Regions from separate parts of the Mus musculus genome. Here regions 2, 3, 4, 5, 6 and 7 are each reported to be linked to region 1. The links are microRNA targets in miRTarBase. Many come from high-throughput screens and were not tested one by one. Region 1 holds a microRNA gene; each other region holds the end of a gene's coding sequence. Distances are between the middles of the regions.
What was found. Region 1 holds the annotated microRNA mmu-miR-804 (UGUGAGUUGUUCCUCACCUGGA, at 1,877-1,898, opposite strand). A microRNA usually pairs through its seed, bases 2 to 8, with sites in the 3' UTR of a target mRNA and lowers its output. Matches are read on the target gene's strand: a 7mer-m8 pairs with bases 2 to 8, a 7mer-A1 pairs with bases 2 to 7 and ends in A, and an 8mer does both.

Region 2: miRTarBase lists Resf1 as a target of mmu-miR-804. Seed matches in the 3' UTR shown: 7mer-m8 at 3,476-3,482.
Region 3: the mRNA of Dhdh is a reported target of mmu-miR-804. Seed matches in the 3' UTR shown: 7mer-A1 at 1,423-1,429 and 7mer-A1 at 1,447-1,453.
Region 4: miRTarBase lists Poglut3 as a target of mmu-miR-804. Seed matches in the 3' UTR shown: 7mer-m8 at 896-902.
Region 5: the mRNA of Zfp830 is a reported target of mmu-miR-804. Seed matches in the 3' UTR shown: 7mer-m8 at 1,598-1,604.
Region 6: the mRNA of Sox7 is a reported target of mmu-miR-804. Seed matches in the 3' UTR shown: 7mer-m8 at 1,309-1,315.
Region 7: the mRNA of Dll3 is a reported target of mmu-miR-804. Seed matches in the 3' UTR shown: 8mer at 646-653.

Annotation. Positions count from the first base shown.
Region 1 is chr11:50,355,923-50,359,989 of GRCm38, forward strand. Mir804 (microRNA 804) reads right to left here and starts at 1,957; the gene lies at 1,863-1,957. Cby3 (chibby family member 3) reads left to right here and starts at 1,839. Exons shown (of 2, transcript NM_029691.1): 1 at 1,839-1,881; 2 at 3,118-3,780. The coding sequence starts at 3,332. The coding sequence ends at 3,754.
Region 2 is chr6:149,334,502-149,338,568 of GRCm38, reverse strand. Resf1 (retroelement silencing factor 1) reads right to left here. Exons shown (of 5, transcript NM_026054.3): 5 at 2,906-3,977. The coding sequence ends at 3,820. Among named protein-coding and RNA genes, the nearest start is that of Gm38930, 16 kb to the left of the region's middle.
Region 3 is chr7:45,471,779-45,475,845 of GRCm38, reverse strand. Dhdh (dihydrodiol dehydrogenase (dimeric)) reads left to right here. Exons shown (of 7, transcript NM_027903.4): 6 at 94-241; 7 at 471-2,283. The coding sequence ends at 580. Among named protein-coding and RNA genes, the nearest start is that of Bax, 6.9 kb to the right of the region's middle.
Region 4 is chr9:53,399,554-53,403,620 of GRCm38, forward strand. It overlaps Poglut3 (protein O-glucosyltransferase 3), which reads left to right. Exons shown (of 8, transcript NM_212445.2): 8 at 134-2,314. The coding sequence ends at 259. Mir130c (microRNA 130c) reads right to left here and starts at 1,333; the gene lies at 1,252-1,333. It also overlaps a transcript of 4930550C14Rik not described here.
Region 5 is chr11:82,764,993-82,769,059 of GRCm38, reverse strand. It overlaps Zfp830 (zinc finger protein 830), which reads right to left. Exons shown (of 1, transcript NM_025884.4): 1 at 1,438-4,067. The coding sequence ends at 3,597. Among named protein-coding and RNA genes, the nearest start is that of Zfp830, 2.7 kb to the right of the region's middle.
Region 6 is chr14:63,948,355-63,952,421 of GRCm38, forward strand. Sox7 (SRY (sex determining region Y)-box 7) reads left to right here. Exons shown (of 2, transcript NM_011446.1): 2 at 1-2,378. The coding sequence ends at 305. Among named protein-coding and RNA genes, the nearest start is that of Sox7, 6.7 kb to the left of the region's middle.
Region 7 is chr7:28,290,196-28,294,262 of GRCm38, reverse strand. It overlaps Dll3 (delta like canonical Notch ligand 3), which reads left to right. Exons shown (of 9, transcript NM_007866.2): 8 at 138-222; 9 at 337-708. The coding sequence ends at 342. It overlaps Selenov (selenoprotein V), which reads left to right and starts at 3,077. Exons shown (of 6, transcript NM_175033.4): 1 at 3,077-3,940. The coding sequence starts at 3,186.

The DNA of each region.
Region 1 (4,067 bases):
GCTGATTTCCTGACAACCCAGATGGGAGTGGCTCCAAAGAACCTTTCTAAACAAGTCCACTTCTCCCGAATCCTTTCTTTCCCACTACTTCTGGTGGGTGGTGGGCTACAAGGGAGGTTAAAGCATTTAAGAACCACCATTAAGGGCCGGCGAGATGGCTCAGAGGGTAAGAGCACTGATTGCTCTTCCAAAGGTCCTGAGTTCAATTCCCAGCAACCGCATGGTGGCTCACAACCATCTGTAATGGGATCTGACACTCTCTTCTGGTGTGTCTGAAGTCAGTTACAGTGTACTTATGTATAGTAATTAATCTTTAAAAAAATCATTAAAAGTAGGATTTGAAAAAAATTAAAAAGTTACTGGAAGAGTATACAAATATCATGCAGGAAGCCCTGGGCTCAATCTGCCCCCAAAAGTTTCCATTGCTACACTCTGGACTAAGGTTGCACTAAAATTCCTGGAGGGCAATCTACATGTGTTCTAGAGCAATACCAGATTCCTTATGCTCACCTCCCATCCACCCCATTGCCAAGAATGTTGGCTTAAGGTACTGTGTGCCACAGCCTATAGGCTGGAGCTGCTCAGGAGACTAAGATGGGAGGAGGATCACTTAGGCCTAGGAGATTTGAGCCAGCTTAGGCTAACAAAGTGAGATCAGGTCTCCAAAAACCCAAGTAAGGGGCCTGAGATGGCTCAGTGAGGGAGGGGCCTGCTGCACAAGCCTGAGACCCTGAGTGCAGAACCCCAGTTCTCATGGGATTGAGTGAGTGTGGCAGCCTGCATCTCTAACCCCAGTGCTGACACGGGACACTGACACACACAATCTGCAGGGTACAGCAATGTCTGTCTGGAACTTAAGGGAGAGACAGAATGAGTAAGATCCCTCTGCCCTATCTTCATTAATACAACACATGACTTTCATAGCTGGCCAGAAGTCGAGTGGTACCCAACTCCCACCTTGTTCACAGAGTGCATCTCTGGGAGCTCTCTCTCACCTTTGATGTCACTACAACTCCAAGAAGACACTTCCCTGGCAAAGGTGGGGGTAGAAGATCCCTACAGCTTTTTGGCCAGCTGGCCTTTTGACTCTGCTAACTCCAGGTTCAGTGAGACTCTGACTCAAAAAATAGGGTGGAAGACCAGGCAGGTTGGTGCACTTTTGATCTCAGCACTCTAAGGCAGAGCAAGTGGATCTCTGTGAGTCTGAGGCCAGCCTGGTCTACAGAGCTAGTTCCAGGATAGCCAGGACTCCATAAAGATACCCTGCCTTTATGTTTATAATAAGTAAACAAACAAGTAAGGTGAAGAGTGATCAAGAAGATACTGGAGGTTAGCTTTTGGCCAGAGGTCACACTACCCATACTCCCACCTTCCACATAGAAGCCAGAAACATATGATTATAATCCGGCTGGAAGGCTAAGGCAGGAAGCAGGCAGATCCCTTTGTTGTTGTTTTGTTTTGTTTTTCCAGATAGGGTTTCTCTGTGTAGCCCTGGCAGCCTTGAACCAGGCTGGCCTCGAACTCTTGAAACCCACCTGCTGCCACTGACTGGCTCAGGAGGATTCTTACTAGCCTGGGCTACAGGGTAACCTGGGCTATCCTGTCTCAAAAGGACCTAAATCAAAACAAAGATTTAAACAAAATGAGGGGTGCGATTTTATGATTGAACGTCTTCCCTCCCCCAGAACAGTGCCTGGAGCACAGTCAATGCTCCGGAAACTTCCCGTAACTGAACACACTTCACTGTCTACACCACCTCTACCCTAGGAGGCCTGGCAGGGAGGCATTGTGAGTCACAGCTGGCAGACAGGTGGGTGCCATAACCCAGAAATGGGGCCAGGCCTGGGACAGCAGCTTGGGCACCGCCACCACATCTTCCAGGTGAGGAACAACTCACAAGGAATGTCAGGAAACAGTCTACTGGGGAAGTTGTAACCTCAAAGATGGATGTGTAGGGACTTCCAGAGACTCGCTCCATGAGTTAAATCAGGGGGTGGGGGAGAACACCTGTCTCTGCCCACCTGCACAATTCTGTTGGGTTTAATGAAGGTGTGGCAAAGGAAACCCGACAGCAGTTTTCACTCCTGCCCTCGATGGCAGGAGAGGTATTTGAAAAACCACACTGTAGAATCAGCACTTTATAGGTGTTGTGAGAAGAGTTAGGAAGCAAGTAAGATGGGTTCTGGTAGTTATCTGGGCTTTAGATTCCTATCAGTAGTTGGCTAGGAACAAAAGTTAACTCTAGTGTGCAGCATTCTAGTTACTTGAAAGCTAAGTATGGGTCTAGGCTAAGGCACCTACCTGTCTGTCCTATGATGTCATTGATTACACTGGATGTTAATACACGCCTTTCCAGCTGGACCAGGAACATCTTGAGGATAGACAAAGGCTGTGCTTGTGGTATCCTCTGTGCAGGCCAGACCTGGCATGGAGCAGGTGCCAGTGCTAGAATGTGCTAGACATCTCACCAGACAGATGCTCTGCCGAGTTCACACTAACCCTGACTTTGCAGCCATCAGCAGCCTCCCTTAAAGAATGACAACCACAATGTTCAATTTCCCTGTACTGTACCGAAAAATGCCCTCTGGCTCACCTTTCTAGCCTACGTTTCTGCTATTCTCGGAACCAATCCTATTTGTCGGCTCTTTCATGCATCTGGAACATGACAGCCCTTTGCCTCACAGCTGTCAGCAAGAAAAGGCCTGTCCTACTTGCTTGGCTACTGATCTCTACTTGTGGCCCCCTACCTGTGGTCTCTTCCAGCATTTCAGAGAACGTGGTTTCTGGGCCTTTACATTATCTCTTTTTTTGTTTGTTTTTCGAGATAGGGTTTCTCTGTGTAGCCCTAGCTGTCCTGGAACTCACTTTGTAGACCAGGCTGGCCTCGAACTCAGAAATCCACCTGCTTCTGCCTCCCAAGTGCTGGGATTAAAGGCATGTGCCATCACTGCCCAGCCCTACATTATCTCTTACACACCTACATCCTAGATAAAGGGTCCCGGGGAGGTAATTTTGGTGAACACGGCTGGTGTGACTATGCAGGAATGGGCTCCCCTACTAGCCTACAACTGCAGAGTCTAGCCTGAGCAGGCCGCTCACAGGCCATTTGCTTTCCAGCAGTGCCACTGGCTCGCCTTCACCATTCCAGAACATCAGGGTTCCAGACACCCGCGCGCCCCGCGTGGCCCACACCACCTTCACCCTGGAGGCCTTTGAGTGCCTGGCGGCGAGCCAAGCGGGCCGCCTGTGGAAACAGGTGAGGCAATTCTGGGTCGACCACTTCTCGCGCCGCTTCTCGCCGCGGAGGCCACCGCTGCGCCATATCTCATCCATGTCCACCTTCTATCTGCTGGACCACCGCACGCGACAGGCCGAACTGGGGCTCAACTACGGCGAGCCGCGCACCCGACTGAGCGACGAGGCCTTCGTTTTCCGCGGCGGCCGCTGGACCCCAGAGGGGAAGCGCGCAAGCGCGCGCACGCCTCTGCCCTCCTCCACCATCCCGGCCTGGAAGCCACAAGTGCAGCCGATTAAGAGCCAGGTGCTGCTGGAAGAGAATAACTACCTGAAGCTGCAGCAAGAACTGCTCATGGACATGCTAACAGAGACTACGGCGCGCATGCAACTGCTGGAGAAGAAGGTGGACGCGGATAACAACCCTGCGGCCCCGGCGCGCTCCTGGAAGAGAAAGATGCCCAAGCAAAGGGGCGCGGGAGTACTTATAATCCAGCCGCGCGCTCTGGAGTCGCGGTGATGCAATAAAGTTGTACCTAAAGCAGGGCCGCGAGTACGCGCCTCGCCTTGCCCCGCCCCGCCCTGGTGGCCCGGGTGGTCCACTTCCCTTGAGCATCCGGGTTTTCCTTGGGTGGAGCTGCGTGTGGCAGAGATAAGTAGGAGGGGGAGTTAAAGCGCGTGAGACGCTTGGGCAGTGCGGGAGAGGGCGCTTGGATTTTTCTCCAAACCTTAGGTTCTGCTTTCCCACACTCTTTGTTTTGTTTTCTATTGGCGAAGACTGTGATTTTATCATACGTGGAATAAAGACTTCTGTTTGACCCAGCATTAAAAAA
Region 2 (4,067 bases), not on the chromosome of region 1:
TCTATATTTTTACTTACCAAGTTCTTATGTTGCCAAATTCCTCTGAAAATCTCCCAACCTTTCAGTTGGGTATTAACACCTGACATGTCTCTCTTCAAATCTCCAGCAGAGTTAGTTATCTACCCACATACACACAAAATAAAACATTGATTCTTTTACATGTCTCTTAGTTTCCCAGCTGCCTCTGGGCCTTGTCAAAACTCCTTTAGATTCTTTAGCCTCATTTATAGCAATAGCCAGTACTGACCTAGAACTATACATGAGCTTATTGGGGGTTACTTACAGGAATACAGGCAACTCAATAGCTAGCTATACATAAGAGTCTTCTAGCAACTGTTTAACATTCATATAACCTTGAGGGGAGCAGCCTCATGAACCTGCTCTGGCTCCAAATGGAAATGTTAATAGGCCCACTGTCATGAAAATGTCTTGGAAGCAACAAATGCATTGCTTCAAGATGGCAATAATCCTCAACCCTGAGGAAAAGGCCTTATAGTGCTATAGAAGTAGAGTTTAAGGAAAATTGGAGTAGCCCAAGCCAGATTTTGAGTAGCCAACAAAGTTCCTCAAGGTCTGTCAAATTCCTAACACATACTCTCCTTTTAAAAAACTGACTTCTTTCTCCAGTGTGGTTTTAGTTGTTTGGGTTTTAGCTTTTTTTCTGAGTCAGGGTGTATTCCTTGTGCACATGCATTTAGGTGCCCACATCTGTGTATATGTATATGTAGGCCAGAGGCAGTTGGTATTTTTATCAGTCTCCACATTTTTGGTTGAGACAAGGCCACTCATTGAACCTAAAGCTCAGATATCTTGGCCTGTAACTATCAGAATATGCATGCTATCGCTACCCTTCAACACTGGGGTTAGTTATACATGCTGCCATGCTTTTATTTGGGCACTGGCAGTTTTGAGCTCAAATCCTCTTGCTTTCACACCAAGCTCTCCTCTTCCCATTAAGCCATTTCCTCAGCCACTTTCTTCTATGTTTTAAAGTCAGGAATATACCATATGACAGAAGTTAACCTCAAACTCAAGATCTTGTTTCAGCCTCCTGAGTACTAACTACACAGTATCATATCTACCTTGGTTGTTCACCTTTCAACAGCTACAAACTGGCGCAGTGCAAAAAGGCAACAGAAGTGACTAGCAGATCATGGGGAAAGGCCAGGTGCTATGATATACACCTGTGATACCAGCACTCAGGATGCTGAAGGACTGAATGAATTACACAGAGTGACCTTTTCTCCAAAAACAAAACAAAAACAAAAACCCAAAAAACAAAACAAACAAAAAAACAAAAACCCAACCAAATAAAAATCACATAAATAAGAGCCATGACTCAGTGGGTAACAGCACTTGAAGCCATGTCTGAAAACCTGAGTTCAACTCCCCAGAATCTACATGATAGAAGGAGGGAACCATCTTCCTAAAGCTGTGCTCTGAACTCTGCAGGCCATCATATGGGTGGGTACACACACACACACACACAAACACAATATATCTTTTTAAGGCAAACAAACAATGGTGTGTGTGTTGGGGGGAGAGGGGAGGAACATAGCACTGAGTTAAAGCCAAGTTGGGCTATATAGTTAGTTCCAAGTCAGCAAGGTCTGAGTGAAACCCTTAAGAAAGGGAGGCGGGGAGGAAAAAGAAAACAAGAGGTAGAAATGAGCATATAATGGTGAAAAAATTATTTTCTTTTTGACGTATAAGATAGTAATGAAAAGGTCAGCTTAGGAACTTTGAGAAGGTCATGAAACACTTGCCCCTCCAAAGAGGCTAATTAACATTTCTCAGATCACAGGGTGGGAACCAACCTGTGTTTGGGGACACATTCCATAGGACTATTGCTCACTTTCAGACATCGGAAGTCCTTGTCACCTCATTCCCTAAAGACCAATCAGTTTAAAGGGTGCACTGTTCTGCCAATCATATTGTGCCTAGTTGCTGATGCTCTATTCTGCCCCTAGAAACCATATAAAAACTCACCGAAGGGGTTCTAGGGGTTGCCGCCTCTCCTTCGAGTCTGGGGCAACCCCAGTGCACTGGTAAAATAAATTCCTCTTGCTTTTTGCATAGATCATAGTTCCACGCAGTTCACTCAGGGGGTCCCCAGTAAGCTAAGGCTCCTGGAGTCTTACAAAACCTCTTGCTTGTTGCATCAATCTCTGTCTCTGTGTTTCTGTGAGTGGGACATCCCAGACATAAGGCTCTTTGGGTCCTACATTTCCACTACTGCAAGAGGCAAAAGTTTTCTAAAAATAACCAATGCTCTCCTAGAAGCAAACATTCTGTTCCCAGTGTAGCACAGGCTGCCTTAGTCTCCCAGGGGTTGTGCCATCATATCTGACTTATCCACATGCGTCTATTAGTGAGGATACAAAACCATAGAGAAATGGAACTGAGAGGACTAAGTTAGCCTGAGTTAGGCTGCCTCCATGACAGGCTGCAAACTGGCAGTTTGGGAGACTAGGCCTAAGTTTCTGTTTCCCAGAACTGGAAAAGTCCAAAACAAGTCAATTCCAGAAAAACCCACCCCTCACGCATAGCCTATCGAGGAGTAGTCAGAAGCTGCCCCACTACCTAGCCTGAGCTGATAGTTAATCAGCAAAAGTCCCCCAAATCTTCCAGAGCCTAAACCAATCACAAAGGCAACCATATCCCTGGAGATATATCCAACCAATCAAGGGGAAGAAAGATAACCGTCACCACTACTACCCTAACAGGCTTTAAATTGATCCTGCAAGGTCCATATCTGTCTTTTATCGTCTTTCATCCCGATGTGTGGTAGACCCTTCCATGCTGGTTCTCTGCAGAATAAATGCTCTTTATTGTTGCATAGTTTGAATCTAGGGTATCATTTTTCAGGAATCACAGGCCCTTACAGAACCATGAAGACTTAAACTGTAGTTCTTTAAAAAATAAATGTTTATTTCAAGTATGAAAAGTAATGTTAAGACATCTTCCAAAAACTCCATTCACTTTAACAAAAGTATAAAACAAGACTTCTGAAAAAACCTTTACAATGAGGTACAAAATACTTGGAATATACTTTGACATTCACAATGGGCACTTTCTGAAAAATAAATTTTGCTAATGTGCTTAGAAACAAGAATCTATTTACAGCCCCAGTCAAACAACCAAGTTACCTCAGGATGACAGCATTTCAAAGTAAGGTTTGTATAAGCCACCCTCATTCCCCTTTTTTGGTTGCTGTTGTTTTGCTTTTAGAGAGAGGCTCCCATGTAGCCTAAGCTGACTTCACCAGACTCACTATTCTGTTGAGAATGACCCTGAATTCTTGATCCTCTTGTGTCCACGAGTCAAATGTTAGGGTCACAGGTATGCACCACTGTGCCAGCAAGACTTAAAACAGTAAACGTGAACCAGGCGTGGTGGTGCAGGCCTTTAATCCCAGCACTCGGGAGGCAGAGGCAGGTGGATCTCTGAGTTCAAGGCCAGCTTGGACTACAGAGTGAGTTCCAGGACAGCAAGGGCTACAGAGAAACCCTGTCTCAAAAAAAAAAAAAAAAAAAGAAAACAAAACAAAAAACCCAGTAAACACAGTTCAACAATGCAGATCACTGCATCATTAGCATACACTTTGTAATTCCCAGACAAATGCAATCTTTCTTTTTGCCTGCTCACCAGCAGCTAATCCAACATTTCAGTCACATAGTATCAGTGAAAAGCTATACAGGAACTCCTTGGCTGAGAAATCCCGATGTGACTGTCCTGAGGTATTTTCTGCAAGGGAGCCTGAAAAGAAAAGACTAGGGGTGTTCTCTTGGTAAAAACAAAAACCATGACTTCCTGGGACTATTTAACTGGACTACTCCCGAGGCTTCTGCTTCTCTTCTCAAGGTACATCTTTTTGTAGGTCCGGAACATGATATTTGATTCTTTTACTGGGTTTTGTAGTATTTCAAATTCATCTGCACTGAGGCTTCTCTTAGAAAGTCTTGAGTCAGCACTATCTGAGAAAATAAAAATGATACTTAATGTTCAGTACAACAAATATACAACAATCAGAAGTGAGACAAAATGTACAGTATCTGTATGGGAAC
Region 3 (4,067 bases), not on the chromosome of region 1:
GTCCTGGGTACCGCTCAGCCAGCCGGTTGTTGGGAGTAAAGTCCTTGAGCCATGTTGATAAGGGCCGAGTAGTCACTTATTATCTTCCTTTAGATTCAAAAATTGTGGGCCCCAACAGAGCTGGTGGTGAATGGAGAGAGGAAGGAGTTCCCTCCGCCTGTCCTTGGGAAGGACTACAATTTTGTAAATGGGTCATGCATGCTCTATGAAGCCAACCACGTGCGTGAGTGCCTGCGTAAAGGTGAGGAGGGGCGGAGGGCTGCACTGGGGCTACATCTGAGGGGACTGTTGTGTTCTAGCCTGCCCTGAAACGCAAGTAGCTATTTAGAACTACATCTCCCAGGATTCAGAGAGATAGCCACCTTCTCAAACTACCCTGCCCATGCCGCAAAGACTTCTGGGAATTAATAGTCCTCTTGCTGTCTGATGCGTGCGTTTTAGACAAGTCTTCCTGTGGTCACTCTTCCCAGGTCTTAAGGAGAGTCCTGTAGTTCCTCTGGCAGAGAGTGAGCTCTTGGCTGAGATCCTTGAGGAGGCGAGGAAGGCCATTGGAGTCACCTTCCCCCAGGATAAACGCTGATACAGCTCCTGCGACAGATGTGTGTGGCAAGCAACCTTCCCTCCTGCTTGGACCTCTGTAACCTGACTCTCATTGCTTTGGAGTTGTTGTTGTTGTTGTTGTTGTTGCTGCTGCTGCTGCTGCAAATCAGCACGTGTTCTCTCCCTTTCTGGGTGTTGGGAGCCAGCTTTGATGAGTCAGGGTGTGGAGTCAGGGGAGTCTACAGACACCAAAGCTTCTTTCTAGGACAAACAGGTTCTCTCTTTACTTTAGGGGGAAACACACGCACACGCACACGCACACGCACACACACACACACACACTTGATGGATGAAGCTAGGCTCCAACAACTTTATTTTTCCCCCATATCCCCCAGCAAACTCTTTGAAGAAGTATAAAAATTACAATGTGGTTACATTCTATCTTTAAGTGGATGAATAAATGAAGTACAATGAGTTCAAGTAAAAACAACAACTACAAAGCCCAGCAGGCCCCCAGCACCCTTACACAATTAAGCAATTTATATATTACATGCAGAAAACAGATTATTAACATGAATCCACATACATTCCTGTCTAAGCAACTTGTTATAGACTAACAAACTGTGGGTAAAAAAGGTATTTTTTTCTCAGCCAGTTCTTTGACTGGCAAGCTGCAATTTGTGATTATGAAGAAAGGAACAATCATTTTGTTATTTGTCCTGAAAAGTAATTTTTAAAATTATTCACTTTACACCCCAGTATCAGCCCCACCTATCTCCTCCCAGTCCTCCCTTCACACAGCTCAGCTCCCCCCCCATTCCCTCTCTTCCTCTGAGAAGGGGGAAGCTCCCCTGGGTACCACACACACACACACACACACACACTCACACACACACACACAAACACACTCACACACACACACACACACACACACACAGCATATGGAGTCACTGCAGGACTAAGTGCATCCTCTCCCACTGAAGCCAGATGAAACAGCCCAGTTAGGGGAATGGGATCCACAGGCAGGCAATAGATTCAGGAACTAAATGTAATCATAAAAAACTTAAAGAATCACAAATCTAAACTTTTATATAAAAAAAACAGTCCTTTCTACTTTAAATCCTCGGGTACATAAACAAAAACCTGTTTCTGGTTGCGGTGTGGTTCAGCCCTTGGCATATACACCTTTAATTCAAAACAATGGAGGTAAAGTTAGTTTGTAAAAGGAAGCACCCATGTTTGAAAGTGATGTCTAATTGAGTGGCAAGCAACAAATCAGATTTGACAGACTAGGATGTGCCCAGCTCCCATGAGAGCAGAGAGGAGAGAGAGAGAGACTGCTTTAAGAGAGCAAGGCAGGGCGATAGGAAGGAGGAGGAGGCAGGCTACTGCTACAGAGACAGGTTGAACAGAGAACAAGCTAGACTCAGGGGAAGACAGAACAAGCCAGGGAGTGAGAAGGAGCCAGAAGATAAGAACACATTGCCAGAGTTAGTTTGAGGCCAAGCAGAACAACCCAGTTAGAGGCTGAGAGAAGCCAGACTGGATCAGTCAGCTTAGAAAGGAGTTTGAGCCAGAACAACTGAGTTCAGAAAGAAAAAGCTTATTCAGAGTAAGTCTCAGAGGCTGAAACAGTGTAGACCTAGATAAGATTGTGCGGAGGCTAGAAGCTTGCAGGCCTAGGGTCAACTATCAAAAGTGTGCTCTTCTAAATTTAAATTGTTCCCCAAGATTTTCTACATTAACAAAAAAAAAAAAATCTTTTTTTTTTTTTTTTTTTTTTTCAAGACAGGGTTTCTCTGTATAGCCCTGGCTGTCCTGGAACTCACCACCCGGCTAACAAAAACATCTTAACCTAACTATACTAACTACATCTCTAAATTCTTTCTGAGGCCGAATCCTTTTTTTTTTTTTTTTTTTTTTTAATTTATTTATTATTATATGTAAGTACACTGTAGCTGTCTTCAGACACACCAGAAGAGGGAGTCAGATCTTGTTAAAGGTGGTTGTGAGCCACCATGTGGTTGCTGGGATTTGAACTCTGGACCTTCGGAAGAGCAGTCGGGTGCTCTTACCCGCTGAGCCATCTCACCAGCCCAGAGGCCGAATCCTTAATCTGCTCCAACAGCAATGCTCAAAAGAGATCAATCATTATTATTGTAAGAACCAATGATACTTGCTGAGGTGATCTTTATGTGCGCTTGCGCTGTGCAAAGATTGTCTCTGTATTATTCAAATGCTGGTTTCTGAGTAGGCAGGCCAGATTTTGGTATTGTTAATCATCACCTGTTGTAGTGTTTTGTAAACACTTCCTTCAACACTGCCTGATTTAATAAAGAACTGAGCGTGGTGGCTCTTGTCTTTAATCCCAGCACTCGGGAGGCAGAGGCAGGCGGATTTCTGAGTTTGAGGCCAGCCTGGTCTACACAGTGAGTTCCAGGACAGCCAGGGTTACACAGAGAAACCCTGTCTTGGGAAAAAAAAGAAAAGAAAAAAAGAACTGAATGGCCTATAGCTGAGACAGGAGAAGAAAGGCAAGGTTTCTGGGGAGAGTTAAGAACTCGGGGAAAGAATCTGAGGCAGGAGATTTGCCAGTGAGACACAGAAGAAGCCAGAGGAGAAATAACAAGCCACGTTACAGAACATAGATTTTTTTTTTTTAAAGATTCATTTATTTTATGTATGTGAGTACACTGTAGCTGTCTTCAGACACACCAGAAGAGGGCATCAGATCCCATTACAGATGGTTGTGAGCCACCATGTGGTTGCTGGGATTTGAACTCAGAACCTCTGGAAGAACAGTCAGTGCTCCTAACCACTGAGCCATCTCTCCAGCCCAGAACATAGATTAATATAAAAGTGTTAGTTTATGTTATAAGAGCTAGTTGGGAACCAGTAAGCTAAGGCCTGTAAAGCTTTTATAATTAATAAATGGTCTCTTTGTCATTATTTGGGAGCTGGCTGGCCTAGAAAGTCCTAACAGTTACAGACACTGCCCAGTGAGGGACTGGAAACCCCCTTAGAGTTTCCATACAACCCGTAGATTATGGGCAAAGTGGTGACCTCAAGGGCAACAAGCAGAGAGAAACTCCATAAGAGAGTCAAGTCCTCAGAGCATGGAGTCCTTGGGACCCTGCCTCTCCCAGGCACACCTGCGGTGATTACGCTAACCACTGGGCCATTTTCCATGAGTTCCAAAGTTGCTTCTTGTTCCCACACAGCCCCTGACATCTGGGCTCCTGAAAGTCATCTTGCCTTTGTTTTCTCTGTTAACCCCTAACCCTGTCTGTCCAGCCTCAGCCTCACCAGGCTGCTTCTTTGGAAAGAATGAATGAAAGAGCTTCCTGGTGCAAGGGTACCTGGGTGATGGGGAGCCAAGGGGAACCTCAGTCATACCATGCAACACTCCTCCTCACACAGGATTCTTGGGGAGAAACCCACAACGGCAGCTACCTCTGACCAGAACAGAGACAGCCCTGGGCTGGGCAGAGGGGCAGGCTTGGGTAGGGTCTTCAGAGCATGCACAG
Region 4 (4,067 bases), not on the chromosome of region 1:
TATGAATGAAATTAAAATGAGCCAGATCTTTGGTTTGGGTTTGAAGCGCCATGGTTGGAGGTGGAGGTGTGGGGGAGGTTAGACTAGAATGAAGCATGAACTAAACCTTCTGTTCCTTCCGAACATATTTCAGAAATATGCCGAGCGCCAGGCCAGCAAGCCCATGATTCGTGATGGAATGGAGCTTGTTCCCCAGCCGGATGATGGCACATCCATCTGCCAGTGCCACCGGAGGAGGCCTGAGAGGGAAGAGCTTTGAGGAGACCCAGCTCCATACTCCTTTGTATGCCAGCTGCATCTTTAAGACTTGTGAAAGATGCTAAGCTGTGAAGGACCAGAGAAACCAGGCCTGGTGGGTTAGGCTCACACCCGCAATCCTGGCACAATGGAAGCAGAACAAGAGGATTTCATTAGTGCAAAGCCTACCTGAGATTTGTGGTGACTTCCAGGCCAGCCCAGCTTACCCAGTTGGATCTTATCAAAAGACCAGAACAAAAAAGAAATGTAGAGAAATGCTAAGCTTTTAATCCCACACTCGAGAGCCTAAGTCAGGAAGATCATGAATTTCAGTATTATGAAATATCTTTGGAGTTGCTTGTTTGTGCACCCTAGTGGATAAAAGGCTCATAAATCACTGGGAATCCGTGGGTGGCACGCTCAGGTGCACTGGCTTGCTTCTGTCTTTATCCAAGATAAAAGTCGAATTCACTTACTTTTATATTCAATTATGAAGGGCAAAGTGTTTGGGGAGGCTCGACTGTCTCCTCCCTGTGTTGTTTCTCCTCTTGGTTTTTTTGGTTTTTTGGTTTTTTTTTTTTTGTTTGTTTGTTTTTTTGTTTGTTTGTTTTTTGGTTTTTCAAGACAGGGTTTCTCTGTATAGCCCTGGCTGTCCTGGAACTCACTCTGTAGACCAGGCTGGCCTCAAACTCAGAAATCTGCCTGTCTCTGCCTCCCAAGTGCTGGGATTAAAGGCGTGCGCCACCACCGCCCGGCAAGAATTTGTATCTTTAACTAGATCTTAGAAATATCAGCATGACAAATATCCCATATGGACATGAGAAGAAAGACTGCCTCCCTCGCTTCTACCTCTTTAACCACAGGTTCAGAAAGAAAAAGGTATTTTGTTAGAGACACATTAATTTTTTTAAATTGATGTCGTTTGAGGCTGAATAGTCCTAGCAGAACTAGGAGAAAAAGAAGTTGAAACAAACTAGGCAGTTTCTATTGACTTGTCCGATTCTCATTTTGAACAGTCACACCTTGGAACATTGCACTGGACACAGAGTCTTTGACACACAAACCTGCAGGGGACATTTTACATCCAAACCGTAACAAGTCTATCAAGAAATCTAGGTTAACTCCACTTGACCGTAGCCTTTGAAATGAGTTTTACATGGCTTTATGGTTCATTAACTTGCACATACCTTAGGGGAACCAGCTGGTTTATTAAGCTCCAATTCCTTCCCTTCCAACTTAACCAATTGTCCATATAGTCCATTAGCCACTTTTAATACTGAAGTATTTATCAAAATATATCTGGCTTCAGGGCCCATGAGTTAAGAATAAGGAGAAACCCCCAGAGAGGGACTGGAGGGAGAAAGGGGACAGTGATATAATTATACCTTAATTTCAATAGAAGAAAGTTTTATATGACTTTCAAAAAAGGGAGGGATGTAAGGCTATAAAGATATAGGTGTGTTTATTTGAATAAACTGTCAACAATGTTTATGGCTTGAAACACTGGCCGTCACCCATCGGTTGTGAGCGCATTGCTTGCATAGCTACTGACATTGCTCGCATAGCTACTGACGAGTGGAGGAATTGAGCACCACCATCAACAAGAAGAAACCAGTTTTAATTATGCGGGAATGAAAGCTTTCCATGACCAAAGGCACAGGACAGAACGTGAAGACATTTCCTAAAAGAAAGGGTTGGTTGGGAAGAGTACAGAGAGAGGGGGATTTTTATTTTCGCTTTATACCATTTTATAATATCCAAATTGGTTTTAAACTATGGATATAGAATCAAGCTGTAAAATAAGTGTTAACATGCTAAAAAATAAATAAATAAATGCACAGAGGAGACGATAAGAAGGGGAAAGAAACAGATATTTATGTTTTCCACAATGCCATATTAAGAATCCATGTCTAGAATGTTGTCCTGTGGTTTTATTATATACTCTTTTTTTTTTTAAATAAAGCACATTTTTATAATAAGAAAGGGAACTCCATGTACTTTAAGATTCATACCACCTGCACCCTGATATGTCTCTAAGGCTTGCTTATTTCTTAAAAAAATATATTTTCTGTGTCTGAGTGTTGCCTGCATAAATATTACTACCCCACACCTTGCCTGGTACCCACAGAGGCCAGAAAAAAATGGATTCCCCGGAACTTAAGTTACAAATGGCAGTGAGCTGCCATGTGGGTGCTGGGAACTGAACCTGGGTCCTCTGCAAGAGCAGCCCGAGCACTGAGCATTCCCTCTGACCCTGCTCTAGCTTTCTCTCCATTATGTCCTCATGAATAACTGAACTAAAACTGCTGTCATGGCCATTCTGTCCCTATTGGGCAGAAATGGGGGCAAAGTGCTTTATACCACTTTACATTTCTAACATGTGTCTCATTCCACTCTTCTAATCCTGCCCTTTCTGCTTTTATTCCTCCCCTGTGCCTTCCTGACTCCTCCCACACCAATCATTAATCAAGAAAATGCCCTCACAGACTTGCCTCTAGGTTAATCTGATGAAGGCACTTTCCCATTTAAGGTTCACTTTTCCCAGAAGACCCTAGCTTATATCAAGTTGACAGAAAGCTAAGCAGCAAACAGACCTTCATGGGCTCACATGTCTGAACGCTTGGTTCCCACTTTGTGGTGCTGTCTGCAGAGGTTACTGAGCCTGTAGGAGATGCAGCGGTGAGAGAGAAAGACCATCCCTGGGGAGCAGGCTTTGAAGGTTTACAGCCTGCCCTGCCTCCTGCTCTCGCTGCACTTCTGTGTGGCTCCTGAAGCCAAGCCAACCCTTCCCTTTCGTGGTGGCCGCTGGCGCATACGCAAAATAAGCTTTCTTCTTCAAGTTGTTGCTCTGGCATCTTGCCACAGCAACAGGAAAGTAACGGATACACGTGTTTTCCAAGGACTCGCCTTTACTGTAAACGACTAGGCGGCGGCAAGAAGAAACAAACTCCCTAGAGAAACACGAAAGCTGTCTTCCCACCACATCAGGCCATCTGCCCAGGTTTCATGTCCCACGCAATGAGTAAGAGCCCCCTACCACGACACACATCACTGCCCGCAGACGGGGCTCTGGGGTAGAAGCTAAAAAACCATCCATGGACAATTGTTTGCCCTCTGTGCCAGGACTCTAGCATTTGGGGTTGGGGGAGGGGGGCGGGGGAATTCACCAAGCAGTCCACGGTGTGAACCAGTGTGGAGTGGAATGGTGCCTCGCAAAAGGAGTAATATAAATAAATATTTTGCTCTTACTGGCATTATGTTATTTCTGTTACTAATGGGAGCTCATGGATTTGGACAGCTGCACTGGGCCCAGCGAGCCGGGTGAACATAGAGATTGATAGTAGCTAACCTGACTGGGCTTGTTGCAAAAGTCCCTGGAGCTAATTAGCCAGAAAATGAGCTGTAACAGCTGACTGGCTAACGAGGCTGTATATAATCAAGTTATTTTCGAAGTTCATTTCTGTTTCTTATAAACACTGGTGCTCAGCGAAGTTCCCAGAAAACCTTTCGCCCCTGGTAGATTCCTGTCTATTGAATAGATTTGTTGAGTGTTTCTGCTCGGCTTGAGTAAACCTTTCTGACTTTACTGTTCTAGGGAATTTAAGCAGTTTTGGCCTAGTCATCGGGGCCTGAAGAGGAAGCACAGCGGCCCCGAGAATCACTGGGTGAGTTCTCCACCAGGCGCGCCTTTTCTCAACTTTCTTCGATTTGTGATCCGAGTTTGATTGTTTGCTTTCTCAGTGGAAGAGCATGGGGGTTCATGCCTTCTGGGTAAATGTCCTACAACTGAAGTATTATAATCCCAATTTTGTACTATTATTATTATTATG
Region 5 (4,067 bases), 32 Mb from region 1:
TTTTCTTCCAAGTTAGGGTAGACTGGACCGTTTTAAATAGAGAACAGCACAGTTGAACATCAAATCTGACTCTGCTCAGATCATGTAATAATCTTTAAAGTTTGTGGAGCTGCTCAACTCCCATAGCTGTTCCCTCGATCTCAAGGACTCACTGAGCACCGGATATAATCATGGGTCCTTCTCTACTACTAAGGACCATTGAATCAGATTTTGAGATTCTTGGTACTCTTAAAAAGGCCATGGTAGTTCATGTGCATGAACACACCTAACATTTCTTATGGCTTTGGAAGAATCATTCAATGAAATGTTAACTGAAGGGCATGGATTGCTGAGTAGTTAAGAGCACTTGTTGCTTCTTCTAAAGGACCTGAGTTTATTTTCTAGCATGCATGCTGGGTGGCCCACTGCTGTTTCTCTGGTCTCTATGGATGTGTGTGTGCTCACACACACACACACACACACACACACACAAAGCAAATCTTATCTACATCATGACATGTTCAATGATAAGCCACACCTAACCATTCCTAACCTCCTCTGCTGCCAGTAGTTAATGAACCTTCTGCTCACTACTTCCTCTGCATGTATATTAGATCTGTGCTGATGTCTATTGAACACTCTCTCACTCTCTCTCTCTCTCTATATATATATATATATATGCTGCTAGATAAACTTAGATTTCAAAAATGTACGCAAAAGTATTGAGTAGTCTTTTTCCCTGAAATAATATTTTAGATTTAGCAGAGTACCTAAAAACATTAAAACTTCACCTGTTTCTTTTAAAAATGGCTACTAGATTTAAAATACGATTTGTATTTTATTTTTGTGCTTTAGTTTTTTGAAATAGAGTCTTATTGTCAAATGTACGGCCCTAAAATAACAATCCTCCTGCCTCTCCTTTTCCTAGTGTTAGGATTACAGATATGGGGCTGGTGAGATGGCTCAGTGGGTAAGAGCACCCGACTGCTCTTCCAAAGGTCAGGAGTTCAAATCCCAGCAACCACATGGTGGCTCACAACCATCCATAATGAGATCTGACTCCCTCTTCTGGTGTGTCTGAAGACAGCTACAGTGTACTTACATATAATAAATAAATAAATAAATAAATAAATAAATCTTTAAAAAAAAAAAAAGGATTACAGATATGACCCACAATACCCAGCTTTGTGTTTGTACCGAAAGTGCTCCTGAGGTCATCACCCACCTCTCAACACAGCCTCGTTCTTCCTTGCATGCTGAGATGACTGAAAATCCTCAGTGTGGGGGTCAGACATCTGAGGCAGGCGCACTTTTTGTAATTTTCAAACTGAAATAGCTAATAGTTGACAGTTAAGAATTCAGACTTTGTAGCCGGGCGTGGTGGCGCACTTTTTGTAATTTTCAAACTGAAATAGCTAATAGTTGACAGTTAAGAATTCAGACTTTGTAGCCGGGCGTGGTGGCGCACTTTTTGTAATTTTCAAACTGAAATAGCTAATAGTTGACAGTTAAGAATTCAGACTTTGTAGCCGGGCATGGTGGCGCACACCTTTGATCCCAGCACTTGGGAGGCAGAGGCAGGTGAATTTCTGAGTTCCAGGCCAGCCTGGTCTACAGAGTGAGTTCCAGGACAGCCAGGGCTACACAGAGAAACCCTCTCAAAAAACCAAAAAAAAAAAAAGAATTCAGACTTTGTGTCATAAGGAGCAAGATTATTAATCATGTGTGGCACATACCAAGTCAGACAATGTCTTCTTGGTATTCATACCTAAAAGAAAATCCTGGGCTGGAGATATGCTTCAGTGGTTAAAGAGCACTGATTGCTCTTCCAGAGGATCCGGGTTCAATTCCAGCATCCATATGGCAGCTCACAATGGCGTGTAAGTTCCAGAGGATCTGACACCCTTCCACAGACATACATGTAAGTAAAACACCAATGCATATTTAAATAAATCATTAAAAAAAAAAAAAGTCCTTTGACATTCCTATTCCTGTCCCTTCTACATTTTTTTCTTCTACTTCTAGTTACTAAATGTTAGCTCTTCCTGAGAAATTGTTATTCCCACCCTCTTAGTCCATAACTAATCAGTCGCTTAACTTTTGAAGTGTTGTGTACATAATTTCCCAGTTCCTTGTCCTAGACTTCTTCCATACCACACACTACAACTAGAATAACACCGAATTGTCACAGACTTCTTCAGTTTAAAAAAACCCAAATCCTCCATTTATTTCCACATTGCCTGTAAAAACAGTTCTTTAGAATTAAAGGATTTTTTTTTTTTTTTATTTTAGACAAGGTCTCACTACATAGTCCAGGCTGCATCTCCCTCAGCCTTCCAAAAGCTGCAATGTCAGGGGTGAGGCACCACATCCAGTTTTCAAGGCTTTCAGGCCTTTTCTTCTTGGTGGTTTTCCTTATAAAACCTGAGCTAGAATGGGTTAATATATGTAAAGTGCTTAGAATCCTGACTGGCCTAGGCTTAGAACAGTATGTCTTAGCTATTATAGTAAATTGGAAGATGCTGTATATAAAACACTCATCCTCCAAAGCAAGGAAAACTTTAAAATATCAATAACTAGAATAAGGTAACTGGCATTGCCTTACTAGCAACTTACCTATCTTCCTGCCATTGAAAGAACCTGTAAACACAAGCCTGATTTACCACAAAAATAAAATTTCCAACTCAATGGGGTAATATTTCCTTCATTTGAAAACTGGCTTGGTGGTGGGAGAATACTTGCCTAGCATTCCCATAGCTCTGATCTGTTTAGCAGCACTCGGGGGCAGGGAGTACAGTAAACTACAGAGCATGTTCAAGGAAAACAAAGCCTGAAAAATATATAGATAGGTTTTACACTTAAGGCAGCTGAATCTCCAACCTGGGCAAATACTAGAATAACCTGGGAATAGTCAAGAATATTGTCATCTGGATCCCATTTAATTTATGGAATCTTTTATGGTCAAAACCTCTTTAAGATGGGGCTCAGGCACTAAAGCTTCATAGGCGATTTGACATTCCATGAACAATCAAAAGTTTCACAGGTGATACTGATGTACAACTTAGCAATCATTGATCTTGTCAAAAGAAACACTGTGCTGGAGTCTGGACATCTGTATGCTTTTGAAAAAAGAATACCCATCCACTGCTTTATGAAGAATATGTGTTTATGAGTGGCCTTCTAAAAACAACCTTCCCAAAGCGCCAACCCTTGGAGTTTAAGGCTTGAAAATATATATACATCGAGGTCATATAAACATGTGTCTTTTTTATCTGACTAATATAAGGATCAAAACAGAGTGACTTATATAAATATATACTTAGCTATGTGCAATATTTACAACTTAGATTTTACAACTGAAAAACCACATTGAACCTGTAAAGATGAAAAAGTTGGCAATTTGTGGTTATAATTTCAAAAATGTCAAAAACGGTTTTACCTCAAACATTTTATAATAAATAGCACCGCACACAGTACCATCCCCAAAGTATTACTCCTCACTGGCTTACTTTATCCCAACAATTAGGGGTATCCAAGGTCAGAGGAACCCAAGAACTTGGACACAGCACTTTTTAAGGGACAGCGGGGACTGATGGAAAGCTTGGGTCTTCAAAACCTTACAGCAAAGCCCCCTTTACCCTCCAGTCCTGAGACAGCAAATCCTGTAATTCTCCTTCGTCGTCACTGTCCACATTCTCCTCTTCCTTTTTCTGAAGTTCTTTTATGGTCAAAACCTCTTTAAGTTTGTTTTTTATTTCATCCTGGCGATTCCGCAGCTTTTCCACTCGGCGGTAACATTCTATCTGCTCATCAATCTCTCCAATCTGCCGGTCCAACCGTCCCTCCTCATCCTCTTCAGCAACGATCGCTTCAGAGATAGTGTTGACTTGCCTCATAGCCTTTTGAAACTCGTCCCACTCTTTGTCCATCTGATCCTTTGGGGCATCCACCTTCCGGACCTTTGCATCTACCTCAGGGTCGTCGAAGAACCCTTCTGGTAATGCTTCGGCGGTGTTCTCTCTTCTTTCCACCACTTTTTCATGTATTTCTGCTTTCTCAATGGACCCTGAATGAGGAACTAAGGGGGC
Region 6 (4,067 bases), not on the chromosome of region 1:
CCTACCACCCTCTCCACCCCAACCTCCAGGCCCACCTGGGCCAGCTGTCCCCACCTCCGGAGCACCCTGGCTTTGACACCTTGGATCAGCTAAGCCAGGTGGAACTTCTGGGAGACATGGATCGCAATGAATTTGATCAGTATTTGAACACTCCCGGCCACCCTGACTCTGCTGCAGGGGTTGGAACCCTCACTGGGCATGTCCCGCTCTCCCAGGGGACTCCCACAGGCCCTACAGAGACCAGCCTCATCTCAGTCCTGGCTGATGCCACGGCCACGTATTACAACAGCTACAGTGTGTCATAGAGCTGGAGGAATGGAGCCTGGCCCAGCCCTGCCATCCCCTCCTCCCTATGAAGCACTGAGCTGAGCAGAAACTGTGGCGATGCCACTCCTTGGTGGCAAGAGGTCAAAACTGCTGTTCCAGAGCCTTCCGGTCAAAAGCCAGGATCCAGCGCTCCTTCTGTCCCTTTAAATGTGTTTTGTCGGCTTCATCAAGGAAGCACAGCCTTGGGAGCTGTTTGCAGTAGGATTTCCTAGCCGCTCTACACCATCAGTGTAGCTGATGGGAAGAAGCCCAGTGCATTGGAGCTCCTGCTTTTGGTGTAGCTACTTCTGATCTGTGGTGCTCCCAGTAAGATGGACCCTGGGCCTGGGGTCCATCTCAGTTCAGTCTCTAACTGGCAAAACCCCACTCTGGCTTGACCAGCCCTGACTATTCTCTCCTGTACAGTGAGGGTTGGCTTCATAGCCAAGCCCTCGCTCTATGGATCTCCAAGTTACAGCCCTCTCAAGGCCAAGGAAAGTATGAATGAATGACTGCCCAAGGACCCAGGTTTTCTGCTTTCCTATAATACTGTCCACAGCCACCCTAGAATTCCAAAGAAACTCCTTCAGTCGAGAAAAATATTCACCTTTGGTCTGGCAAGATGGTGTGGGATGTCTCAGTGGGTAAGACTGCCTGCTGCCAAGTCTGATGACCTACGTTCTATATCCGGAGCCTACATGGTGGAAGAAGAGAACTGACTCCTGCAAGTTGTATTCTGACTTCCAAATGCACGTGTGCCCCTGCATTATATGTGTGCTTGAGCATGCTCACATGCACACACACACACACACACACACTAAATGTAATTTTTTTAAAGGAAAAGATCTACCCTGGTTCGGAAAATTAATGAGTATGTTCAACTGCATCACTGAAAGCAAAATCAGATTAGAACTTGTTTTGTTTTGTTTTGTTTTGTTTTGTTTTGTTTTGTTTTGTTTTGTTCTGAGACAGGGTTTCTCTGTGTAACCCTGGCTGCCCTGGAACTCACTGTGTAGACCAGGCTGGCCTCAACCTCAAAAGTAAGCCTGCCTCTGCCTCCTGGGTACTGGGATTAAAGGTGAGTGGCACCACACCCAGCCTGGATTTTTTTTTAATATATACTTTAGATACATTATTTTTGTTACATACATCTCAGGCGACTACAGTGTGAGAAATGACCTTATGCAGGCATGCCTATTCCCAACACTGTGCCCCAGGTGTGTACCCTGATTTAGATTCTTCTCAACTGTGACAATGTCTCATCCCCTCATCACAGAATGAACCAGAGAGCTAGAAACCTAAAACGTCTGTCCACAAAAGTGTTGGGGTGTGCTGATTTCTAGAGCAGAGCTGTAGCATACTCTTATCTACAGATGCAAAAGATGACTCTCTGCCCAATGTCTGCTGCCCCTTGCTCCCAGGAGGGCTTTTCTCTCTTCTCTGTTACTCTCCCTCCAAACTGGCCCCTAATTCAAAGGGCCCCTCGCTTGGAATCCCAGGCACCATTCCCCTGGGCGTGAAGGGAACTTGGTTCTTGTTTCTCAAGTGGATACATCAGAACAATCACCTATCCCACAGTCCTTTGGCTGTCCCAAACAAACACCCTGTGACACCCAAAGATGTTTCTGAGCTTTGGTCGCACCCCAGACATTTCCATTCTCTAAACCTCCTTTGAAGGAACATACCAAACACTGAGCTAACAGACTCTTGTCTGCCCTTGGACACGTGTATATTATTGCCTTTATGAAATGTGTTTTTATATTCTGCTATTATGTCCACCTTATATTTTGTATTGTTGACAGATCCCCAAGAAGTCTTATTATAATATCACTTATAAGATATACTTAATCTTTATGCTATTACTGTATATACCATTTGGTAACAAATAGTGAATTGTTGATGATGTAATTGACTGGTGCCCAGTCCCGGATGGATATTAATAATCTCGTGAAACACTATCACAGGCATTAAGCTACTCTGTTCCATTTTTTCAAGAAAACTAAATATGCATGGAACAGTTATGAAATTGATTTTTCAAAATGTTTAATTTAAATAAATTTTTTTGTACCTTCACCATTCTATCCTTTGAAATAGTATTTTTTTTAAATTCATACTAGGTCTCAGTGCTACCTGTAATATTGTTTGCGTTATTTTCTGAGTCGACTTTTTATTTTAAGGAGTTTTTGTTATATAGGGTTTTAAATTTCTTTATGAGTTGTGCTGAAAAGACAAACTTCGATTCTACACATTAGTGCTGTTTTTGTTGACATTGGAAAAGGAAAGCCATAGCAACCCACATGAGCAGTTTCTCCATGCCTATTCAGTAACTGCACGCTTCCCAAGTCTAAGCAAATGACCATCTTGTCCTCTCCCCTACTTGAGTGGTGTAGCAGTATGCAGTGGCCCTCTGGACTGGACAACATGCTGTCGGGGAGACAGGCACACAGCCTGGAATCAAGGTCTGAGACAGCTGGGAAAGTCCAGGATGCACGCTCAGTCAAAAAAGCTCCTGGAAAATCAGCCTGGCTCTGTCCCATGTATGGCACCTAATATGGGCTGCTCTTCATGTAAAGAAGGAACTTGTTTAAGTCAAAGGTAGCCATGCCCCTTCCCATGCTCCTCTGGGCCAACGAGGGCCCTCCTGGGTTTCTGCACATCCTTCTCTGCTGATCATAACCCACACCCATTATTCAGTAGCACTTCATTGTTGTTGGGAGTGTTAGAGAAGGTTTCTGAACTGTTTCTCATCCACAGCCCAGGTGGGCCTCATCATTCCCACCACATTACACAGCCAGGGACACTACAGTTCCGAGTGGGAGATGGCGTGAGACTCGCCACCCTCCTAGGATGTTGGCTTCAGCACCCATGAGGCGCATTCATTGGGAGCATTCATGGCTGAGGGTTTAGTGCTTCTCCTTGGTCCTGGTTTTGGTGTTGGAGATGTGGCCTCATGTTGTGGCTCAGACTGACCTGGAACTCACTAGGTAGCCCAGACTAGCCTTGGACTTGTGGAAACCCTTCTTTAGCCTCCTTGGTTCCATTCTCTGTGCCTCACTGGGGCATGGATTCAACTGCTCCTCAATCCATGACCATCTCAGGCCAGAGAAGAAGAAAGCAATTATGGGTGACAATTGAGATGACACAGAGCCGTGATGCTCTGCACCTGGCCAGTGGTGGCCATATGCAGAGAGCACTGAGGTACTATCCTTGGCTATACTGAGCTCTGAATTGGCAGTATCTGGTCAAGGTATGCCCCTTGGCACTGCCCAATGGGCATGCATCATTGTAACACACAGTGTGGTTACACTGTCCATGCCGATGAGACGACAAGAAGGCAGGAGGGTTCTCTGCTCTGAGTGGGACACTGTGGGAACCAAAGTCTCTGTGGGTCCCAGCTACCTGTGCACCCTGCCTGTGGTACTCAGGTTACAATGTGACTGATGTCATCTTACAGGATGACAAGCCATGACAGCAAGTTGTTTTTCTAAAATGCTGACGTTCCCATGTCACTCTTTGCCTTAAGATCTCTGTTCCTGTTCCTTAAGCAGTGAACAACAAAGGTGACCCACTTTGTGGCTGAGGAGCCCTGTATTTCAACTCCCACTTGCTTATGTGCAGGGCAGTCTTTATTTTCACAAATGTTGTAGAAAGGGAAACACTTGTGTTCTTTTCTCTAAGACACACCCCCACCATTACATCTCCTGCCAACTATACAAACTTCAGGCTTGTCATATCTGCCCAGTCTGAATGTTAGTTCCCCA
Region 7 (4,067 bases), not on the chromosome of region 1:
GCCCTAGCCCTCTTCTGATGGGGTCATTGCAGAATTCTCCCTTGCCAGTCTGCGGTTTCCCTCTTTGATGGGTGTGGGAAATAAAAAAATGAGAATTCGTGGGGTCTGAATTGTCCCCCGTTTCTCTCCTCCCACAGTTCGTCGGCTGACTGGAATCATCCTGAAGATGGAGACTCTAGATCCATTTATGTCATACCAGCCCCTTCCATTTATGCACGAGAGGTATCCTCGACCCACGTTCCCACGTTCCAGGCTTTGGACACTTGGCTCAGTGGCAGCCAGCTCCTCCCACCCTCAATATCTTTTCTAACGCTTCTTTCTCATTTCTTTTTTCAGGCCTGATCCTGCCCCTTCTCTATCTTGTCCCTTCTCTATCATCGCCTGGAGATGGAGCCTGAATGATTTTATTTACTTTGTGGTGTCCAATCTCTACCTCCCCCTACCGACTGGAGACTCTTTGAAAGGGCTTTATTGTACATATTGCTTATTTATAACCTAGTTTTTCTCATCTCCCCAGAGACATCTATAAAGGTTCTTATTTTGCTCAACCACATCAGGCTGAGAACTTTTTATTTTCCCAGGATAGAGTTTCCTCTCTGTAAAAGCCCTGGCCAGCCTAGAACTCTGTAGACCAGGCTGGCCTCGAACTCACAGAGATCCACCTGCTTCTGCCCCCTAAGTGCTGGCATTAAAGGCGTGCACCACTCCAACAGGTGAACTTTGTTTTTGATGTTGAAACTAAGAGAGCTGTCTCATAAGGGGAATAGTAGGTTTTTGTTGTTCTTAAATTGAGACAGCATCTTGTGATAGCTTGGAGCTCATTGTATAAACCAGTAGCTCTCAACTTGTGGGTTGCAACCCCTTCGGGGGTTGAACAACCCTTTCACAGGCGTCACACATCACCGATCCTGCATATCAGATATTTACATTATGATTCATCACAACAGCAAGGTCATAGTTATGGAGTAGTAATGAAATGGTTTTATGGTTGAGGGTCACCACATGAGGAACTGTATTGAAGGGTTGAAACATTAGGAAGGTTGAGAGCCACCTCCTTTCTTCTTTCCTTTCTTTCTTCTTTCCTTTCTTTTCTGTTGTTTTTTTCTTTTTAAACAGGTACTTATATTATATGAGGGCTCTGTCTTCACACACAGCAGAAGAGCACATCAGATCCCATTACAGGTGGTTGTGAGCCACCATGTGGTTGCTGGGAATTGAACTCAGGACCTCTGGAAGAGCAGTCAATGCTCTTAACCGCTGAGCCATCTCTCCAGTTGTGTTGTTTTTCAACACAGGGTTTGTAGCCTTGGCTGCCCTGGAAGCCACTCACTCTGTAGATCTACTGGATTGCCAACCAAGCTAGCATCAAACTGCAGCAGCTTTCCAGCGTCTGCATCTTGCACACTGGGAATTACAGGCAGGCACCACCACGCTGGACTAGGCCTGGTCCTTTGATAGAAGGCTCACTAAAAGTTTTTAGGCTTGTGGTTATGCTGTAGCACAGGTAATTAGATTAAAATATAATTAAAATTAGCCAAGAGATTCTGGCACGATGGCACATGCCTTTAACCCCAGCTCTTGGGAGGCAGGAGCAGTGGTTGTCTGTGAGTTCAAGACAAGCCTTGTCAGAGCGAGTTTCAGGATAGTCAAGGATCCATAATGGGACCCTGTCTCAGAAAGGGGGGGAAAAAAGGCTGAGGCAGGAGGATTGTAAGTTTAAGGCTAGCCTAAGCTATATAGCTGTGTGTCTTTCTCAAAGATAACAGAAAGCAAAACAAAACAAAAAATACGTTTAAAACCCAGCCAACTAGAGAAGGGGATGTGCCAGGGTCCAGGTCAATTCCTAGTCCAAACATCTGTGTGTTCTTCCTGTGGAAGCACCCACTGCACTGACGTCTGGCAACACAGCACGTTAATGGTCACGAAATGTACATTGCATTCTGGGGCCTAGAGTCTTCATGAGGTCTTGGTCAGGCAGATAAAGTTAATAGCCCTCCTGGGGCAGAACTGACACAATGTGGCCCCAGGCTGTCATCACTATCCACGTTATTGTGGATTGGCTGGTCTATGTATGCCCCACCCCCCTTCCAGAAGGATATTCCCTGGCTTAGAAATACTGCCCCAAAGCCACAGGCAGAGGCTGACATCTCTTGAGACATCAACAGGGTTATGTGCATCCTGAGGGTTTTTTTTTGGGGGGGGGGGTGTTGGTTGGTTTTGTTTTTTTTTTTTTGTTTTGTTTTTGTTTTTTTTTTTTTACTTGAGAGTGATTTTAAACTTTTGATCCACTTGCCTCCTGAGTGCTGGAGCTACAATCCTGAGTCAACATAACTGGTTTGTGTGGCACGGGGGACTTGGACCCAGGGCTTTGTGAATGCTATGAAAACTCTATTAACTGAGCCACAACCCCTGTTAAGTCATCCTTCTGTGAGCCTCAGAATGAAGTCTAGTCGGCCTTACATGGTCACTGTCCCTGGCTCCAATCCTTGTCACCTCTGCCTTTTGCCTATACTCCACTTCTCAAACTTGTCCCCTTTCCTGGTGCCAGCTTCCACTTTATCTCCCTAACTCGGGTTCCACAGGATTGGTTGATCCAGGTCTTGTTCTAGGAGCTGGGGATACAGCATGAAGAAGACAGAGTCTCACTTTGACCACTCCCCGGGAGTAAATTGGATTATTTGTGTGGGTTGTCGCTATTTTTCTCCGGACCTCGTATCCTGCAGAGAGGTGCCTCCTTTCTGAATTATATGGGTGCTGGTATTCTCCACTGCACTGACGGTTTTAGGCTGTCACTCTCATACTGGGTGTGACCTCCTATCATGGGCAGGAAGCAAGGAGGGCAGAGATGCATTGTCCCCGGAATCCCCAGCGCTAGGAGGGCGCTTAATGAACTCAACCAGCTAAACGCATGAGTGTCAGGGTGGCAATGGGAAGCTCTAGGCAGAGTTGGCTCCTGCTGGGTGGGGATAGGGACAGGGGCGGTGTCTATTCGGTGAGATCTGAAGACAGCAGCGCCTCCCTGGCGCAGAGCTTGGAATCTCCGCCTGACTGGAACCCGGTGTAACAGTGCCTGCTCGTGGTTGCTTCGGTTTTTAGAATCCTCGGGTGCGAAAGCTCTCCTCGCTCAAGGAAGCAGGGCGAGGCGGGACGCTTAGCCTGGGGTACCCGGGTCTCACCTGGTCCCCATGAATAACAAGGCGCGGGTCCCCGCTCCCTCCTCAGTCCGGGCAAACACCCCGGCCCGGACACCCGCTCCCATCCGAACCGCGACCCCAGTCAGGGCCCCGAACCCAGCGCACAACTCGACTCCAGTCCGAACTTCCATCCGGGTCCGGGCTCCTGCCCAAGTCCCTAACCCTGTTCCAATCCGGTTCCCAACTCCAGCCCCAGTCCCTGCCCCAACCCTAACCCCAGCCCCAACTCCAGCTCCAGTCCGGCATGCAGCACCGGTGCGGACTCCAGCACCAGTCCGGGCCCCGAATCTAGGTCGGGTCTTTCCTAAGATCTCTCCAGGCAGGTTCTTCCCGAGCTTGGCCTCGCCCACGGCACAGCCCCTTTCTTCCAGGGCTGCTAGCGCTCTCTTGAAGGATCCCACACTCGCTCAAAATCAGAAACCCTCGATCCACAGCCTAGCGGAGGCCATCCAGGGGCCCCTTCCAGTGCTCACTCCCTCGTCCTCCAAGACACAAGGCTCCATACCGGACACCGCCTCTCCCATAGACTCCTTGGCTTCTACTGCCATGGCCTCCAGTACATTGGGCCCCATTCCGGGCCCCAACCCTACACTAGAGTTCTTGGCCTCCCCGCTGAAGGAAACCCCTGGTCTGGGTAAGCTCTCCACGATTTCCCCAGCACCCAGCTTCGGTTCCACTAAGGAGATCCCATCCACCAGCGAGGACGTCCCAACGCCCAACAGAATCTTGATCCGTGTGATGTACTGGTGAGGGGCTCCCCCTACCCGCGAAAGAACGGGAGCCGAGCCGGCAGATGCTGGAGCTCTGGGCGTGTGTGTGTGTGTGTGTGTGTGTGTGTGTGTGTGTGTGTGTGTGTGCAGGCCCAGGTGGGCG